Oryzias latipes: one gene and its partners. The protein of the gene in region 1 interacts with the protein of each later gene in a pairwise test. Links are inferred from orthologs where the notes say so. Each region holds a gene or a part of one and is shown in the gene's direction. Other genes may lie near its edges. The genes, in order: lmo4, grainyhead-like protein 2 homolog, rbbp8, nfyc and itsn1.

What was found.
Region 2: the proteins of lmo4 (region 1) and grainyhead-like protein 2 homolog interact in binary tests that used the Homo sapiens proteins (3 or more experiments, as listed by UniProt). The two-hybrid records come from large-scale screens. The link is inferred for Oryzias latipes from reciprocal best matches to the Homo sapiens genes LMO4 and GRHL2.
Region 3: the proteins of lmo4 (region 1) and rbbp8 interact in binary tests that used the Homo sapiens proteins (3 or more experiments, as listed by UniProt). The link is inferred for Oryzias latipes from reciprocal best matches to the Homo sapiens genes LMO4 and RBBP8.
Region 4: the proteins of lmo4 (region 1) and nfyc interact in binary tests that used the Homo sapiens proteins (3 or more experiments, as listed by UniProt). The link is inferred for Oryzias latipes from reciprocal best matches to the Homo sapiens genes LMO4 and NFYC.
Region 5: the proteins of lmo4 (region 1) and itsn1 interact in binary tests that used the Homo sapiens proteins (3 or more experiments, as listed by UniProt). The link is inferred for Oryzias latipes from reciprocal best matches to the Homo sapiens genes LMO4 and ITSN1.

The regions. Positions count from the first base shown.
Region 1 is NC_019862.2:4,585,749-4,589,771, forward strand, and holds the start of lmo4 (LIM domain transcription factor LMO4), read left to right. Parts: upstream 1-1,209; 5' UTR 1,210-1,654; intron 1,655-2,622; 5' UTR 2,623-2,657; intron 2,658-2,745; 5' UTR 2,746-2,750; coding exon 2,751-2,986; intron 2,987-4,023. UniProt on the Homo sapiens protein: Transcription cofactor. Plays a role in establishing motor neuron identity, in concert with MNX1, acting, at least in part, to disrupt LDB1-LHX3 complexes thereby negatively modulating interneuron genes in motor neurons.
Region 2 is NC_019869.2:7,142,545-7,146,058, reverse strand, and holds part of grainyhead-like protein 2 homolog, read left to right. Parts: intron 1-1,666; coding exon 1,667-1,825; intron 1,826-3,514. UniProt on the Homo sapiens protein: Transcription factor playing an important role in primary neurulation and in epithelial development. Binds directly to the consensus DNA sequence 5'-AACCGGTT-3' acting as an activator and repressor on distinct target genes.
Region 3 is NC_019878.2:11,812,784-11,816,861, forward strand, and holds the start of rbbp8 (DNA endonuclease RBBP8), read left to right. Parts: upstream 1-1,276; 5' UTR 1,277-1,404; intron 1,405-1,609; 5' UTR 1,610-1,633; coding exon 1,634-1,733; intron 1,734-2,551; coding exon 2,552-2,594; intron 2,595-2,694; coding exon 2,695-2,790; intron 2,791-2,967; coding exon 2,968-3,059; intron 3,060-3,289; coding exon 3,290-3,362; intron 3,363-4,078. UniProt on the Homo sapiens protein: Endonuclease that cooperates with the MRE11-RAD50-NBN (MRN) complex in DNA-end resection, the first step of double-strand break (DSB) repair through the homologous recombination (HR) pathway.
Region 4 is NC_019869.2:22,272,688-22,276,856, forward strand, and holds the start of nfyc (nuclear transcription factor Y subunit gamma), read left to right. Parts: upstream 1-1,355; 5' UTR 1,356-1,484; intron 1,485-1,850; exon of another isoform or gene 1,851-1,870; intron 1,871-4,018; exon of another isoform or gene 4,019-4,132; intron 4,133-4,169. UniProt on the Homo sapiens protein: Component of the sequence-specific heterotrimeric transcription factor (NF-Y) which specifically recognizes a 5'-CCAAT-3' box motif found in the promoters of its target genes.
Region 5 is NC_019873.2:615,965-619,478, forward strand, and holds part of itsn1 (intersectin-1), read left to right. Parts: intron 1-50; coding exon 51-172; intron 173-1,850; coding exon 1,851-1,974; intron 1,975-3,514. UniProt on the Homo sapiens protein: Adapter protein that provides a link between the endocytic membrane traffic and the actin assembly machinery. Acts as a guanine nucleotide exchange factor (GEF) for CDC42, and thereby stimulates actin nucleation mediated by WASL and the ARP2/3 complex.

The DNA.
Region 1 (4,023 bases):
TAATTATTTTTGCAAGAAGTAATTTCTCCTGCCCAGTTATGAAAAGCTCATTAAAAAGAGGACTGGAACAAACAAAGCTTTTCCTGTGAGGCCTCTTTTCAAATTCATTTTCTAATTTCCCTCTGTTTTAATCATTTATATCAATTAATCATTCCTTGGTGGAAAAGATATTCTTTGCAATCTTCTGTGGATGTTTTTGTTCTGGTAAGAGGCAAGCTTGATGAGAGTGTCAAGAGAATGCGGCTCAAACCAAGGTGGATCAGCGCTGGCTTTGCCAAAAGGGAAATCAGTGTGATGCAAAGCAATCTCCTCAGAGCTGCGAGAATAATTAAACAATTAAAGTCAAGAAAAAGATCATCTTTACACATCCAAAGCCAGGGGTATCATATCCAAATGGATTTTTTTCTTTTTTTTTGTCATGTAAAACTCTTAAACCTGGTTAATCTCTTTGAAGATAACTTCTCTTTTGCATTATATTTTATTTTTCTTGTTTCTAAAGTAAAAAACTAAAATAAAAATACAATAAAAAGAGCCATATTTTCATGTCAACTTGTGACACATGCAACACATTTCTCGCATGTAGTTCATGATTAATCTCTCATGCTTGCCATGATATTAATGTTAAGATAAATACATGTAAAGAAAACCCTCAGACAAATCAGATTCAGTGTTGAAATCAATGACCTGTGGACTTTAATGGGGTTTTCAAAGCAGAAAGTCTCCCTGCAATTACTGTGGGTGGCAGACGATGGCGCCACCGCGCAGCTGTTGTCCCGCCAGTTCCCAGAGGTTGGAGTCACTCTCAGTAAACTAAGTAGTTATTGAATGTCATCTAATTAAACTGTGACGTGAGGTGAATGCAGTTTACTGGATGTTGCCATGCAGCTTGGAGCTGATGCTACAGGGAGATGCAGATAATCAGAGACTTCCCATGATGCTCTAATCACAGCCAGGCAGTGATTTCGAGATTAAGAAATGACGTTCAAATTGATTCTGAATTTGACTATTTTAGATTTTGGGTATTGAAACATTAAATTCAGTTTTTAAGAAGTGTTGGGGGGGGGGGGGGGGGTCCTGTCTTTGCCAGTGTAACAACATTGTTTGTGTGCGTCTCTTGCTAAGTCTCTCTCTGCTCTGATTGGCTGGATTCGGTGTTCTTAAATGAGCTGCCAGCGGATTGGCTGAGAGGGCTTTGTCGTCACGCGGCTAAAGAGGGTTTTTTACTGGAGGTTTCTTCCTGTCAGAGACACATGTAGAACAAGCTGCCCGCGGATCCACCGTCGTATTTCCTGTGCTCCGTTATTCGCGTCATAATCTCGGTTTGTGCCGCTCTTCTCTGCTCTTTTGGGGAACTTTACTGTCTCGGAGACCTAATCATCCTGCGATGGACAGCTTTGGGTCCGTCATCGGCCACAAATCGCTTTCAGAAAAGCAGGAACCGTCCGCTGGAAATACTATCTGATAACTCCATTTGCTCCGCTGTACGAGTCGCGAGCTCGCTGCCGCGCGGGGCTGGACACCGACGGCGCACTTTTTTATTTATTTATTTTTTTAAATAAAACATTTTTTCCTTGACTTTTTGGGGACTGCTGGAGCTTACCCGTTCTCCTACGCAATCTTCAGACCCGAACTTCAGCCATTAAACTCCAACGAAGTGAGTATATGTGTGTCAAAGTCTAGACTTTGCCTCTGAAAGCGTGTTTTCTTTTGAAGATAGCTGTGATATTTGATACCCGAGACTCTTGTTTTTTCACTGAACCCATGGCCGTGTAATTATCCCGCAATAATCTTTACATTTTCCGGTTGAAAAGCAGCTTTCAGGACCTTTAGCACTCGCCTTTTCTCCCTTCCATTTCCATGTCTTAGTCTCTGTGCCCAAATTGCCTGACCGTGTAATTACTTACCCATTTAATCTAAAAAGCCTCCCCTCCTCCTCCTCCTGCCCCGCCTGTTGGAAACTTGACGATGGCTCGCCCGGTTCGTGCGTGGAGTCACTTTCAGGTCGGCTTTTTGTTTTGTTGTGTTTTTTTTTTTTTTTTCATCTGCTTTTAGATGTAATCAGCGCGGAGGTTCGCCGCGGTTCGTCCCTAAGAGCCATCGCTAATGGGCTTACTGAATGCTGCTCTGTCTGTGCGCGCGCGCGCCCCCTCCCCGCGCCTTCTCCTTCCCTAATTGGCCTACCTGCCTTTCAACAAAGATTTGGCTTTATATCCCGGCGTCGCTGCTGCCCCGGAGTGGTGGTGATGGTGGTGGAGGAGGGTGGATGGGGGTGGGGGGTCCGAGCACGTATTAACGTCTGGAAGGGAACGGCCGTTTGGCGGTGAAGTTATGGCGGGCAGGTCGGTGGAAGCCCGCGGGGCATCAGGTGTTGGTAAACAAGCAGGAGCGGCTGTGCTGCTCAGTCAGTCAGTCAGAGGCACTGCTTTCACTTTAGAGGCAGCAGAATTGTTCCTTTGGCCCCACAGTGTTATCAGTTAACAGACATTCATCAGCAGCGATGCCCCCGCGCAGGGGCCACACAGGCAGAGATCAAGGGCAGATTAATTCACTAAATGACTCATAGCAGAACATGGCTTGTTCGTGTAATGAGATCAGCTCCTTCTCTTTGCTGGGGGGTCACAGAGTCTGCAGCTGCAAAGTTAACAATCTCCACAAAGGTGGTGTAAAACTCTGCCATTATCTGCTAGGATGATGTTGCATACCTGGTATCAACACGTGATGTTTGTTTTTGTTTTGTTTTTTCAGAGACCATGGTGAATCCTGGAGGCAGCAGCCAGCCGCCGGCGGTGGGCGCCGGTTCCCTGTCCTGGAAGCGGTGTGCGGGCTGCGGGGGCAAAATCGCAGACCGCTTCCTCCTCTACACCATGGACACCTACTGGCACAGCCGCTGCCTGAAGTGCTCCTGCTGCCAGGCCCAGCTGGGCGAAATCGGCACGTCGTGCTACACGAAAAGCGGCATGATCCTCTGCAGAAACGATTACATCAGGTGAGAAGGGGGGGTTAGGGCCGTTTCTGTGGGGCTGTCCAAGGACACAAACGCACTCTGTAGGTGAGACATTTAGATAGGCCTGCATCACAAATGTATCCTCATCGCAATATCAACCTATACGCATATGGCAACAGGCAGCCTAAATTAGGGATAAATGGTTACTTTTTAAATGTTCACACATAAACAATCTTATGGCCGCTTAACAAATTAAATGGAGCCCTTTGACCAATCAGATGCAGCCCTTTTATGTCAACTGTCTGCCTCCTTTGTAGACGAGGGTCATTTGGATTATAAATGAAGTTATGTTGACTTTTATTGAAATAAAAAAGTTGCACCGAAATGAAGAAAAAAAATGCCCTTTGCTTATGTATCCCAGACACTAATATTACAAGTCTTCCTCATGGCGTGCAGGACTTTATGTAAATTCAATCAGGAAAAGAGATGTATTTCTCTTGTTGAAGTTTAAAAAAAGAACCCTATTGGGAGCAGGAAGAGTGTTCATCAGCTGCTTTGGCCTCTCCTGTCATTCAGTTCAGCTGAATGGGAATGTTTCTGCTTAAAGGTACAAAATCTCGCCCATTTGAGTTGTTTTTGGATGTGCAGCCAGCAGATCTGCACAGATGATTCCAGATCTAAAGTGCGCCCGTGCGCTCTTACTCCCACCTCATATAAAGCAGTGGGAAGTCAATGGGGTACTTCATTCATAATGGTACTATAACGTAATTAAAATTGGAGCGGGAGGAAGTGTGGATACACCTTTCCACTTGTATTGAGAGCATGCTTGGTGAAAGAGCTAAAGCGCAGATTATGGAGGCAGGAGATCTGTGCAGAGATAAAAACGCTGAAGTATGGCTGGGAGAGGGAGGCAGAGAAAACATCTGAGAGAGACTCTACACAATTAAATGCTTTAATTATAGTCCCCCCTCCATTTCCTTCAGTCCTGATGGGTTTTATCTAATGAGATCTGGTCCCTGGCTTGTTTCTGCTACCAATGACGTGTCCGAAATGAATGAGAGCCACACTGCAAACAAAAC
Region 2 (3,514 bases), on another chromosome or scaffold:
ATCTTCTGTTAAAATGCTTGGATACAGCCAGCGGCACCACACATAGAAGCATATGTGTCTCATATTTCAAAATAAAAGTCTATACCGGAAATGATTTTTGTATTTTCACATTAAAGCTGCGTTTGTTGACTCAAAAATTAAATTAAAAAATCAATCCGCAAAATGGCTTTTTATTTTTCAACACCGCTTATTCTGTCACTTAATTAAAATGATGAAGAAAATGGTATTAGACATTTCATTTTCAAAAAGTTCTCTAGTAAATGTGTAGTTAAATTCAATTAGAAATATTTAATTTGACAATTAAAATGGTTTAACAGAAATGCTTTTTCATTTTCACGCTGCCTGTCACAAACTAGGGTTGTGTCCAAATTCCTTCACTAATCACTACATGGTGCACGCTATAGTACGTTCACCATTTTATAGTGTTGTCCAAATCTACAATTCCAAAATTGAGTGCCCTGGAAATTTCCCAGAAGTCTCTGTGAAAAACCAGTGTGCATCGATGCTCACTAGAATATGCTCAGCGAATATAAACCACTATGCATTGCGTCTGAACAATTTTTGCCAAAAAAATGAATTTAAATATATTTTTTTGATAAACCATCAACGTTTTTATCTTCAGAAGACAGTGGATTCATAAATAATTGTCATAAAACGCTCATATTAATTAAATTTCAACTTTGTGAAATCGATGACGCCTTATCCGCCGTATAAGAAAAAGTAGTGAGCGTGGTGTCTGACTTGCTTTCATAATCCAGGGCACTACATAGTGCCGGACTAGTTGTTAGGGATTAAGGTAGAAATTCGGACACATTTAAAAATAAAAATTGGGGTGGGGGCTGCAGAACTTCATGTTTCCAAGACAAAATAATATTGTTACCATGACATTGAAAATAAAATATTTTTAATTATATATTGGTTAATGACTTACTGCAATTAGTCTGTTTTATCATTTCATCATCTTTAGGGACCTATGTGCCCCCCCCCCCCCCCCCCCTCAGTCTGGGCCCCTAGAATCAGCCACCTTTACCCCCCCTCCCCAGGAAACAGCACTCTGTGAACAGTTAGCATGATGTCCGTCCGTGTGAAGGCTGTGAAGACTCTCTCCTGTAACAGTGTGGCTTTCTGACTCAGACTGAGTGGCTGTTTAAGGGCTTAGGAAACCTTTGCCGGTGTTTGAGTTGATTATCTGATCAGGGTGTGACACTGTGAGGCTCCAAAACTGTTTTTTTTACATCCAGATTCCCTCCCTAACTCCTAAAAGACCATTTAGTGCGGGACAATCCAAGCCCTGGATTTGAATGTAATCTGGACACCAGGCTCACTACTTTTCTTTTTCTGAAACAGCAGATATGATGTCACCTATTTGCCAAAGTAAAAGCCTAATAAATATAAGCATTTTACAGAGAACATTGTTGTCTATATGAGCATTAATGCACATTGTTTTTTTATTGTTTTGCAAAGATTTCTGGGGAATTTCTAGGGAAGTATTAGTTTTATATCAAATACCAGTTTCACTTCTGTAATCAATGAAACATTTTTAAACTTTAACAAGATTCAGGTTTTTACTAAAGTGAACCTGAACATAATCCTTAGACTTAAAATGCAGCTGCATGTAAAGACTCATTTTAAACCTTTTTTTCCTTCCTTTTTCTCTCTTTTGAAGATCTTCATCACAGTCAACTGTCTGAGCACAGACTTCTCCTCTCAGAAAGGGGTCAAGGGTCTCCCGCTCATGATCCAGATCGACACCTACAGTTACAACAACCGCAGCAACAAGCCCCTGCATAGGGCCTACTCGCAGATCAAGGTCTTCTGTGACAAGGTGATGAAAGGTTCCTGCAAAAGAGTCCAGAAAACATCATTTCTCTCCAGAGACGAGAAAGACTGAAATCCACATGTTTGTAGTTTATGGCCACATAACTCACTGTAGGAGAGCTGAAGAAGGACCAATGTGGGATCGGAAGCAGACAGAAAAATAAAATAAAAGTCAGTTTTCCAGGATGGGAGGCCTCCATCTTTAATTGTTCAAAGAGATTCCAAAAATCCTGAATTTTAACAACCTATTGTTAAACTATCACTTTCACGTCAGACACTTTTGTCACCTGTAAAGAGTTTATCTTCAACACAGATCTTCTTTCTCTTTCGGCTTTTCCCATCAGGGGTCGCCACAGCGAATCATCCTTTTCCACCTCACTCTATCATGGACATCTTCTACCCTAACATTAGCCAACTTCATGTCCTCTGTTAAGACATCCATGTATCTCCTCTTTGGCCGTCCTCTTGCCCTCCTGCCAGGCAGCTCCATCTCCAACATCCTTCTACCAATATATCCACTATCCCTCCTCTGAACATGTCCAAACCATCTCAGTCTGGCTTCTCTGACTTTGTCGCTGACACAGGCAACATGAGCCGTCCCTCTGATGTACTCGTTCCTTATCCTGTCTAACCTGGTCACTCCTAAGGAGAACCTCAACATCTTCATCTCCGCTACCTCCATCTCAGCCTCTTGTCTCTGTCTCACTGCTACCGTCTCTAACCCATAGAGCAGAGCTGGTCTCACCACTGTCTTGTACACCTTTCCTTTGAGTCTTGCTGGCACTCTTCTGTCACACAACACTCCTGACACTTTCCTCCAACCGCTCCAACCTGCCTGCACTCGCCTCTTCACCTCTTTTCCACACTCCCCATCACACTGAACTGTTGACCCCAAGTACTTAAACTCCTGCACCTTCTTCACCTCAGCCCCCTGTAACCTAACGCTTCTACCTTGATCCCTCTCGTTCAGACACATGTATTCTGTCTTACTACGACTGACCTTCATACCTCTTCTTTCCAGAGCAAACCTCCACCTCTCTAGCTGTTCCTCCACCTGCTCTCTACTCTCACTGCAAATTACAATGTCATCCGCAAACATCATTGTCCAGGGAGATTCCTGTCTTACCTCATCTGTCAGCCTGTCCATCAGCATAGCAAACAAAAAAGGACTCAAAGCTGATCCTTGGTGTAGTCCCACCTCCACCTTGAACTCCTCTGTCTGACCTACAGCACATCTCACCACCGTCATACTTCTCTCATACATGTCCTGAACTACTCTGACATACTTTTCTGCCACTCCAGACGACCTCATACAGTACCACAGCTCCTCCCTCGGCACCCTGTCATACGCCTTCTCTAAATCTACGAACACACAATGCAGCTCCTTCTGACCTTCTCTGTACTTTTCCATCAACATTCTCAAAGCAAAAATGGGATCAGTGGTGCTCTTACGGGGCATGAAACCATACTGCTGCTCACAAATCTCCACCTTCTTCCTAAGCCTGGCTTCCACTACTCTTTCCCACAGCTTCATTGTGTGGCTCATCAACTTTATTCCTCTATAGTTGCTGCAGTTCTGCGTGTCACCCTTGTTCTTAAAGATTGGGACCAGAACGCTTCTCCTCCATTCCTCAGGCATCTTCTCACTCTCTAAAATCCTATTGAACAACCTTGTTAGAAATTCCACTGCTGTCTC
Region 3 (4,078 bases), on another chromosome or scaffold:
GGCTACACTCTCTCCTACCACCACTTTGCAGTCAATAACCTCTCTCAAATGACCTCGTCTACATAGGATGTAGTCCACCTGAGTACTCCTACCTCCACTTCTGTATGTCACTCTATGTTCCTCTCTCTTCTGGAAGTAAGTGTTGACTACAGCCATTTCCATCCTCTTCGCAAAGTCCACCACCATCTGTCCCTCCAGATTCCTTTCCTTCACACCAAACCTGCCCATCACCTCCTCATCACCTCTGTTGCCCTCACCAACATGCCCATTAAAGTCTGCTCCAATAACAACTCTCTCTCCTCTGGGGATACTCTCTATGACCTCATCCAACTCACTCCAGAATCTCTCCTTCACTTCTAACTCACAGCCAACCTGTGGCGCATACCCACTGACTACATTCACCATCACCCCTTCGATTTCTAACTTTAAGCTCATCATCCTGTCTGAGACTCTTTTCACCTCTAGAACACTGTTTACAAACTCCCCCTTCAGAATCACTCCTACCCCGTTTCTCTTCCTATCAACACCATGATAGAACAGTTTGTATCCTCCTCCAATACTACGTGCCTTGCTGCCCTTCCACCTTGTCTCCTGCACACACAGTACATCTACCTTCCTTCTCTCCATCATGTCTGCCAGCTCTCTGCCTTTCCCTGTCATTGTGCCAACGTTAAGAGTCCCTATTCTCAAACCTATGTTCCTGCCTTTTCCCTTCTCTCTCTGGCCACGGGCCCTTCTGCCTCCCCTCTTTCTTCGACCAACAGTAGTCAAATTTCCACCGACACCCTGTAGGTTAACAGCATCGGTGGCGGTCGTTGTTAACCCGGGCCTCGACCGATCCGGTATGTCTAAAGTGTTGTGGATGATTCGCATGGTTATTTTGGCAATTTTTACGCCGGATGCCCTTCCTGACGCAACCCTCTCTATTTATCCGGGCTTGGGACCGGCACAGAGGCAACTGGCTTGCAACCCCTGTGGCTAGCCATTATTAACTCTGTAAAGGCCAATAAAGAATTGAAATGGAATAAATGTTTTCTCCTTAAAACTAAATTATATATTTTTATTGCTGTGGGTAAAACATATTTGTGAAATTTGGCAACATATTTATTTGAATAGTTAAAAAAATAGATTAAGTCCTCATACATCAAACCGAAGTGGTAAAAATAGTTTCCACTAAATTTGATGTTCATCATCAGCGATTCTTTTAACCACCACTCTTTGAACAGCAGGAGGCGCTCGAGCGTCCAGTCTGCTACATTTTCAGGGCCACAAAGAAGAGTTCCCAGCATGCACTTCTTCGGCGCGGAAATTTCAATGGATTTTCAATGCGAGATGAAAGTCTGAGGAGAGAGCTCACGAAGGAACAAGTCTGCCGTGTTTCGGCGTTCAACCAGCTCAGTTTTTGTAAGTACGTTTGTGAAAAGCTGCGTTTAAATTCACCGCGTTGTTTGGAACAAAATAGTGGGTTTGAAAAACTAATACTTGTAAAACTTCTACTGAACTACTAGAAGTTCTATAAATACACTTTTCTATGTACTGGAGGCTGACATGGCGTTTAATAACAAATAAATATTCACGTCCATCTTATTTTTTTCTTTAAATTATGTGGGCTGTTTGCGGAGAGGTGTGAAAGATGAGTGGATCAGGTGACAGCAGTGGGACGATCAAAGCAGCTGATCCCTTTGAGGATCTGTGGCGGCAGCTGGGAGAGTGTCATCATCACGTGACTGGAGGTAAACGACTGCTGGTTATCGGGCAAGGAGTGACACTGATAAACAAGGAATGGATCAGGAAACAAGTATGGATTTTCTTTAGAAAAGACAATTCTAGCTGTATAAAAACACAAGAACAGATTAAGCAGTGTAGTTTTTTTAATTTTTATTTATTTTATTGACCAATTGCAACATCCAGAACAAAAAAAAATGCAACAATTATGTACATATAATGTACATTACAATTCTGAATACAGAAAAAACGTGTTACATCCTTAGGAAGATTTTAATTATTAACAATAATTACAAAAAGATTAAGCAGTGTAGTTTTTTTTTAGATTAGCAGTGTAGTGCAGATCCGGCTTTTACCGGCCATGACGTCATCTGCGTGAGCCTGAAATCTCCTGCATTTTTAAAACAAAGTTAAAAAACAAACACTAAATTTTATTTTCAGTGTTATTACAATATGTTTTCAATAAAAATAATTATTAGTGTACAAATAAATGGGTGATTTTTACCTGTACTTTAGCAGAAATGTACACTTCACCTATAAAACTGTAGAAGAAGCATTGTTTGCTTTTGTTCAGAGCTAAAGGAAGGATAAACTAAAACACACGGAGCCAGAATTGAATCAAAAGGTAACAAGTCCTTAGTAAATGAGTAAAAATGTGATGCTGGTTTGTTTGCATTCAATCAATGGCATAAAAATGCAAACAAAAAAAAAAGGAATTGGCAACTGAAAGCATTACATGCAATTTGGTAATTTACTGCAGAAACTCTTAAACAAAATAAGAATAAATAATAATAACTTTTTCTATGGGAATAACTTTTTCCCATAGAGCTGGAAGCAAAGGTGAGCCGGCTGAAAAAGGACCGCTGCCTGTAAGTCCTGATGGATTTTTGTTTTAAGGAACGCCAATAATCATAACGCATTCCTTCATAGTTAAGGAATGGCAGTCAAAGTGACGTTTGTTTGTTGCAGAGATGCTCAGAGACTTGAGGTGTTTTACAACCGTAACCAGCATCTGAAGGAGGAGAACAAAACCCTGCACGACACCATCCACCTCCTAGAGGAAAGGTAACATCCTCCAGCGTTTGTCACACTCTGGACCAACAGAACCGGCTACGTTTGATCATCCGGTTTTGCTCAATCAACAGAGGGTGCTCCGGTCTGGGTGTTGGGGTCACCAAAGGGGGGGTAGTTTGCTAAAGAGAGGCAAGAAAAACAAAAGTTTTGTTGTTCTTTGTTTTTCAGGCTCAGAGCAGGAGAGTGCGACCGTTGTGTTGTCTTGGAGGAAAAGCTGAAGAGCAGCCTGGATCAGAATCTCAGACTTCTTGATGAACTGAGTGAGTCCCAGAAGGAGCTCCTCTCAAAAATAAAAACACGTGCACCATCTTTTTAAAATAAAATCAAAAGAGGATGTGGGAGGTGGATCGGCTTTCAGTTGCAGCCAATCATGTCTGGAGGGGAAACGGTTGCTGCGGCTTTTCCCTTTTTGTTTGATGAAGCGCTGATGGAGGTGGAGGACAGCCGTCTTGGAATGATGGTGCTGAGAAACTTTTAACTTCTTATTCAGGAATTGAAAGAAACAACCTGCAGGATGAAAACAGGAAACTCCGTGCTGAGATACAAAAGCTGAAAGCATCGTGGTGAGTTTTCTGTAAATCTTCTTCCTTTCAGGGAAAATGTTGCCTCCAACCTTCCCAAAACGTACCTAAATTTGCATTTACCTAGTACCCAGTCAAAATGACTTTTGGGCATTTGGGGCCAAAGTCTCTTATGGGTCCAAAAAAAAGTAACAAACCAAAACACACGTGTGTGGAAGATGTAGATTTTGAATGGCGTTAGCGTAGCAAGTTTGCCAAAATGGCGTTTCCCTGTTGCTCACATAGTTTTTACTGGAATATTGTGAAAATACACGAGTCGACAGCTCAGGCTGAACAAAAACAATGTCTGATTGAACATATTAGGAATGCGAGGGTGGTTAACAAAAAACCTCTGTTGCTAAGGAAATCCCAAAAAATTATTTTTGCCTGTTCTTCTAAACGTGACTCAAACATGTTCGTCACCCCCAGGCGACAAAAAATTAAAATGGTTGCTATGGAGGCAAAACCAACCGAAGGCTCCTTTTTTTTTTTTAGTTTTCATGAATTTGTTATGTGGCTCTGACTGGGGTGGCAGAGGGAGAGTAAGGGGGGGGGGGGGGGGGTAGCAGCCGCTCAGCCATCATAGGATGGCGAGGGCAGAGGCGTGTAGCGTCTGCTGCTCACGCCTTCATTTTATTTCAATATCTAAAAATGTTTTCCTCATTAATGGTAACATTTAAATAAATAAAAATATTTTCTCTAAAATTTATCACAGAAAC
Region 4 (4,169 bases), on another chromosome or scaffold:
AACTTAAATGTATTTAGTATTCAGTTTATTTTTGCTTTAATGATTTGTCACAATTTTTTTCTATGTTGTTGTCACAATAAACTATCTTCTACCACTGTCTTTTTTTTGTTAAATTACTAAGTAAAAAGAAAATAAATGTATTTTTGACTTTTAAATTATGTGTGCATTTTGGCCTAAACCTAATTAAAAAATGATTGCTCGACACATTTGTGTTTTTTAGTCAAAAAAATGTTACCTTGACATTCCATCCTATTTTATAGATGGGATTTATTATGCTGCTTCAGTTTGAGATTGCCAGATATTTTAGTTTATTGAGCAGGGATGTAATGAACTGCAAAAGTACTTTCAGATAATAGCTCAGAATTATCCGTTTTATGTTTTGTTGATTAAAAAGAAAAGAAAAACGAGGAAAAATACTAAATTTATGCATAGAAAACTAGTTGGACAGCAAGAGAAAAAAGTCAAAGTTTTGTAAAATTAGCATGACATTGAGCAATCATAAATTTAATGATGCAGTGTATTTGAGCAGTTAAATCAGAAAATGCAAATCATTGAAAAATTATAAAAAGATTCACCATCAAAAAGAAAAGTATTTTTCAAATTCATAAAGTGAAGAGTAAAACTTAATTTAATTTTGCCATTTATGCATTCTTAAATATAAAAGCTTCCTACTGTTGTACTGAAAACACATGTCATCAAAAGTATCCAGATGAAATTAAATGTGTGATAAAAATCGTGCTTGTAAAAAAACAGTACAAGTAAGTCTAGATACCCACAGACACATTTAAATGAAAACATTTGCATCCATGTAATCACATCTGTTTCTAATATGCATGCAGTATAGAAATATGAATTTATTACTCATCTGCATGATAGTTGTATATCTTTATAAAAGTTTTTGCTTGGTTGGTTTGGTTATAAATGTATTCTGTTCCACACTGGCTCCTCAACTGGAAATAAACTTCTTTGTTTGTGGACATTTTTAAATATTTATATACTTTCCCTTGTTAAGATTACACAAAAACTATGATAAACACTAAAAAAATATAGTTTCATCTATTTAAATACATTGAATTAAAATAATTTAATTGTTGACTTTATAAAATATTAGATTATTTATAAACCTAATTAAAAAAAACTATGTCTTATTAACGTTATTTTTCTTTGGTCAGCAATAAAATTACATAATTTGTAGCTTATCACATTAGTGTTACCATATGTTCAAAAAGACATAGTTTCATATTTTTAAGATTGACATTTTTTCCTGCATTTCCTGTTTGATTTGCATAATTTATTTGGCATTTATAGTTTTTTTTTGCATTTTATAGTATCAGGATGATGCCGTCGTGACCTATACGTCATCGCGTTCGTACGTTCATCCCTTTCCGGTATGAGGTAGCAGCCATCTTGTTTCCCTTTGCAAGCTAAATAAAATAAATAATACGCCGCACTGGACTTCACCGCGAAGCCGCAAAAGAGCATAAGTAAGAAATTAAATTTCATTGATGTGTTTGCCGTGTACACTCGTGATAGGTCGAAATTGCGGCAATTAATTGGCCTTTTTTCCATTTGCTGTTCTTGACCAATAGACGATTGTTTTGGGTGATGAACACAGGCGCCATTTCCCTCCCCGCTCTCTGAGGCGCTTATTGGTGGCCCGCTGAAAGTATCATCGGCGGTTGGGAAACCACTGCTTTGTGTCCGCCATTTTGGTTCTCATTACCATTCGTTTTGTTGAACACTGGCTATTCCTATCAGACCCCGAATGGCGTCAGTTTCAGAACGAGCTTAGCCTTACAAACCTTGATTGGTGGAATCTAGTCCGAGGTTTGATTGGTCTGAAGGACAGACCCAAACGTTGTCTTTATTGGTTAGTCCGTTTCTTCCAAGATTTGCAAACTTTCACATGATGACAGAACTAGTTTGCGATTTAGTAATTAATATTACGACGAACTGCACGCACATTTGTAAGACTAGCCGTCTACAAGGTGCTAACACTAACTTCACTATCGGTACCGAGAAGGCACGGATGACCATTCTAAAGTTCACCATCGGCGCTTTGTTTGCCCTCTTTCCCCGTTAACTGTTTTGGCAGCCGAGATGTTTAAGCTAACACTACATCACATTTAATATTTCCAATATTTTAGCGGCCGTGGTTTAAATTTATTGCAGCGTTGTTGGGACTAAAACCTAGCGTTGTCTCCCGCCTATTTAATTTGCTTTGAGGTACAATTTCCATGAAGTTACCATCGTTTCAAAGGATAACAGGAATCTTATGAGAATATTATGTCTGAAATTCTAAGCTAACATATCTGACACTCGCTGGGTGGGTAAAATTGTGAAATTGCACTTCTAAAATGTTTGCAGGAATGCTAAAAAAATATGTCAGAGGCACAATTTATCTAAAATAAATAAAAAACTTTTTGAAATACTATAATAACTTTTTGCTAGGTGCAGCGGTGCTGCATTTTACGTAATAAATACCCACTTTGATCTAAATTATTTGAGGCTTTTTGATGTTTTGTTATCAGCGTAAATACAAATAAAAAACGGTCTTTCCTGTAGTTTAAGCTAACTTTACCAGTTGAGTCCAGGTTGTTATGTATTTGCATGTTTGTGGCTGAATGGCTAACCGCGAGGGTTTCTGTGTTTATCAAACTCACCGTCTGTTTTGGTGTATGCTTATCTCGAAAAAGCATCAACGAAAGCAAAAATGTTTCTGGTATGGCTGCAGAGGTCATGGGAAGGTTTAATGTGTTCTGTGACCTTGGCATATGTCATGACTTTTTTTTTTTTTTTGGTTCATCTACATAGAAGAAACTTGCTAATACATTTGATATCTATTGTTTTTTTAATTGGTTTTTTTTACATCTCGACTCCATGTTTAACTGGCTGCTGGAAGTACCTTTCCCTGTCTTCATGCTCCATGTGAAACTACAAAAAGGAACATTTAGCTCTGTTTCTTTTGAGTCTGTCATGTTCCCTCTTCCTCCCTTCATTTATTTCACCCCTCCTATTCTGAAACAATTCTCCTCTCTGTCCTTCTCCATCCTTCCAGTTCCCCTCCCCCTCAGGTTTTCATTGATGGTGCAGGTTTGCTTTCTATTCTGTTCTTCAAAACCTTAAGTTGCAGCAAAGTACAGCATTAGCCTTGTACTTTTGTACTTTTCTAGAGTTTATTTTCTGTTTTACATAGAGTTCATGAACACGTTTCTAGTACTAGGAAACCTAGTACCTAGCTAATATGGCATCAACTATCATGAGTTCTGCACATGAGCAGTGGAATCCTTCTTTGGTCTTTCAAAGTAAATGTTTTTGAGTCGAACGTGCGCACATTTAACCAGTGTGGAGCGCACAAGAAGGACATTGTCAGACATTGCTGGTGTGGTTTTGTGATGACGTATGAATTGTGGAAGTTGCTGTAAGCATAGTCTGAAGGGTCAAGACAACAATGTGTGTGTTTGTTAGCTCTCACTCGTAATCTTCGTCGTGTTTAACCACAAATAGAGGAATGCCACCATCTTCCACAGCTGCTCTCTCATCAGCTGATACATTTTTATTGATAAAATAATTCCGTTATTTTTCGTCCAGTTTTTACTTTTCAAACTTTGGGCTTTTAGGCTCTGTCAAGTTATTTATTTATTTTTAAATATTCCTTAATTTCAGCTTTTAAATGTATGTCCACGCAGAATATCAAAATATTTTTGCCGAACAGTGTTGTGAATTTTCTTAATACTTGCAGGTAAACCAGCAACAATAATAACAATAAGCAAATAAGAATAAATAAGGAGGCAAGGACAAAATGTGCATTAGTGTGGTTGTGCGTGTGAGCCTGAGTACACACATGAGACAAGGAGGCTGACTAGTATGCTTTTGTACTTTAAATCATGTGGATGCAACATGCGGCATTGATTCTGGCACTTCTCTCTCTCAGCCAGTGAGGTGTAGCCTGGCCGCCTGCATCACTCCGCAGCCAGCCTGTAGCAGCGGCTCGAAGGCGGAGCGTAGGGAGACATTTAGTTTGACATTGTAAATAAGCAGAGAGCAGTTGTCAGAGAGCAGCCCGTGGATTCTTTCCCATATGACCAGCGGGAGAAGAGGTAGACGCCGCTTGAGAACAAACCATGAAGAGGCAAGCCTTCACTAGCTCTTCCTCACACACTCCCTGA
Region 5 (3,514 bases), on another chromosome or scaffold:
GCATAGATCTTGGAACTCATCAGTCACGATGTTCCTGCTTGTTCTTTCAGAGATTGCTCAGGTGATCGCCCCCTACACTGCAACAGGGCCAGAGCAGCTGACACTGGCTCCGGGACAGCTGATCCTCATTAGGAAGAAGAATCCAGGGGGTTGGTGGGAGGGTGAGCTGCAGGTAACTAGACTGAACTTCAGTAGAGACGTTTCTGTTACAAGGGTACACTCCATACGTATTAGGATGAACACAATAGCAGAAAAAAGCTTAGAGGTTATAATGATATGAAAAACTCTGTTCAGGAAGGACCTTCTCCACCATGACATGCCGTCAACTTGTTCTTCAGAGCTGCTGGTCTTAACAGGTTTATTCAGAAAACATTTCTTCTCCCTGAACAGCAAATGCTACTTTAAGGACAATGAAGTCACATTCTGAACAGTGAGTACAGATGGTTTAAAAAGGAGTCACTCACTGGCCACTTTATCAGGTCCACCTTGCTAGGACCGGGTTGGACCCCCTTTTGCCTTCAGAACTGCCTTAATCCTTGGTGGCAGAGATTCAATCATTGTCATGTTCAAGAAACCAGTCTGAGATGATTCCAGACTAGCGCTTTATCCGTCTGGATGTAGCCATCAGAAGATGGGAGACTGTGGTCAGAAAGGGATGGACATGGTCAGCAACAATACTGGAGGCTGTGGTGTTGGAACCATCCTCAATTGGTACTAAGAGCCTCAAAGAGACCCAAGAAAATATCTCCCACACCATGATACTACCACCACCACCAGCCCTATATGCTTATACAAGGCAGGATGGCTCCATGCTTTTATGTTGTTGACGCCAATTTCTGACCCTACAATCCAAACGTTGCAACAGAAATGGAGACTCATCAGACCAGAAACAGTTTTTCCAATCTTCTGTGGTCCAGTTTTGGTGAGTCTGTGTGAATTGTAGCCTCAGTTTCCTGTTCTTAGCTGACAGGAGTGGCATCCAGTTTGGTCTTTTGCTGCTTTAGTCCATCTGCTTCAAGGTTGGAGGTGTTGTGTGTTCAGAGATGCTCTTCTGGAGACCTCAGTAACCAGTTCTTCTTTAAGTTCCTGTTGTCTTTCTATCAGCTGGAACCGGTCTGGCCATTCCCCTCTGACCTCTGGCATCAACAAGGCCTTTCCGCCCACTGAACTGCCGCTCACTGGCCACATTCAGTCACTTCAGTCACCTTTTTTCCCCAGTCTGAGGCTCAGTTTGAACTGCAGCAGACTGTCTTGACCGTGACTAAATGCCTAAATGTAATGAGTTCTGCTGCTGCTGTGTGATTGGCTGATTAGAAATGGCCTTAATGAGAAGTTGGACAGGTGTGCCGGTGAGTGTATGTCTAAACGGAGAAACCTTCCCTCAAGTCTGAAACATATTTTGTCATTAAGCTACTATTCTGTTTGAAATCTCAGCCAAAGAAAGTGGGGTGTAATTTACAACTGACACAAATAAACAAAGCCCCATCCACTCAGTCTATGGTACTTCAGCTGATGATTCTGACGTGAATGTCTATATTCTTATGTGCTGAAGTGTGCTCATCACTTCAAAGCATCAGCTTTTCAACAATAGCAACATCTGCAGACCACACACACACACACACACAGACACACAGCAGATAGGACCATAACAGATACTGGAATGATACATGAAAAATCTCCAATACCACCAAAAGTCCAGCTGCTCTGAAGAATTCGTAAAGGTTTTTTTTTTTTTTTCAAAAGACAACGATTAGGTTTGTAATGATTAAAACAAACTGTCCACATTGCAGCTTTGGTTGTTGACGTGCATTTAATAAACAACCACAATGACAAATCTTCTCTGGGTGCAGGCTCGAGGGAAAAAGAGACAGATAGGCTGGTTTCCTGCCAATTATGTCAAGCTGCTGAGCCCCAGCACCAGCAAGACCACTCCCACTGAGCCAAATGCCTCCAAACTGGCCCCTCCCACCACAGGTACACATTCTGACAGTTACAGGGTTTAGCCCTGCATAACCCATTGTTTGACTCAAAAAGAAAGTGGATTTGTGTGAACACCGCTGACATGTAGCTACAGTTAAAACATGCCAAACACTTTACATAAAACACAATTATTTGTCCACCTCAGTTTCTTTAAGAAACCATTAACCTAAAATGAAATTACCTGAAACCGACAGCTAAAAATATTTGGAAAAATTAACAAAAAATCACTTTGATTTGATTTCTTGTTCAACTGATTCAACAAATTAACAGTCTTGGTCAAAAAGGATTTTTTTAAAACAGTTTTTAAATAAAAGATGGGTAACATGCAGGTGTTTCCTTAGCATAACAAGTGTTCTCAAGCCTGCAATCAGTTTGCTGGTCTTACAACAACCTCTTAGCTGTTTGGTAACATATTGTGTATCACACCAGGAAAAGACCACTGACAGACTAGTTTGTTTGGATATTTAAGAGAAAATCTTGAATGTGATAGACCTCCCAAAGACATTCAAGGTCACAGCTGAGCTGAAATTAAAGATCTCTAAATGTGTGCTATGATGTTCTAAAGCAGTGGTCCCAAACACTTTTGAGGAACTTTGTGACAACCTGCACACAATAAAACAAAAATAATGTTAACATACATTATTTCTGTTTTATTTTCTGATTCTGAAAGGAGTTTTATTTTGGAAAACCACCAGATTCTGTCCCCCACGTTTGTCGTTTGACTTACTATTGACACATGCCAAGACGTTGGTCACAGATCTCAGATATATTTGCTACCTTCTTGAAGCGACTGCTCTGATCGCTAACTAAGAGCCCACAGCTAGCAAAGTTAACAAATCCAAATGTCTTAAGAGAGTTTCTCTGGGCAGAAGAGAGCAAGTGAGGAACTTGAAGAAGTGCTTTCAAATTCAAAGAAAAAAATCATCTGCATTTAACATAAGACTTAATTAAATTATGGATTTTTTGCAAGACTTGTTTCCATACCCCAAGCTTATTCCTCTGCACAATATGCAGCAACCAACTCCCTTATGTTACAAATATGCTGCTAATAAAGTTGCAAATAAAAGTTTTATAATGGTATCATTTTATTTTGTAGTTTTTGTCCCTCCAAACCTTAAAAGTCAGATGAGGCTAAAGTTGGTGTTCAGTGGCTAGCAGGTTAAAGGTAAATCTAGGTTTGGCACAAAACCTAGACTACAAAGAAAGTTTAAACCGACTACATTGTACAGAGAACAAAGATGCTGATTTATGGAAACTTGCCAAAAGGTCATTTAAGAATTTTCCAACAGCAAAGCTAAGTAAAGAAGGTACCTGTTAAGAAACTTTACCACAGATAGGACTGCTCTATATTAAAGAGAAATCAGTATTTCAAGATTTAATAAAAAAAACTAGATATAAAGCATTATCTGAGTTACTGCAAGTGTGAATGCTGTAAGCAGAATGTGGCTGCTAAAGAGCCTGAGGCCCCTAGGGAAGTGGGGAAAAGGCAGTTTTCCCAAGCTCTGTGCAGATCCTGGGAACAAAGAGGACAAAC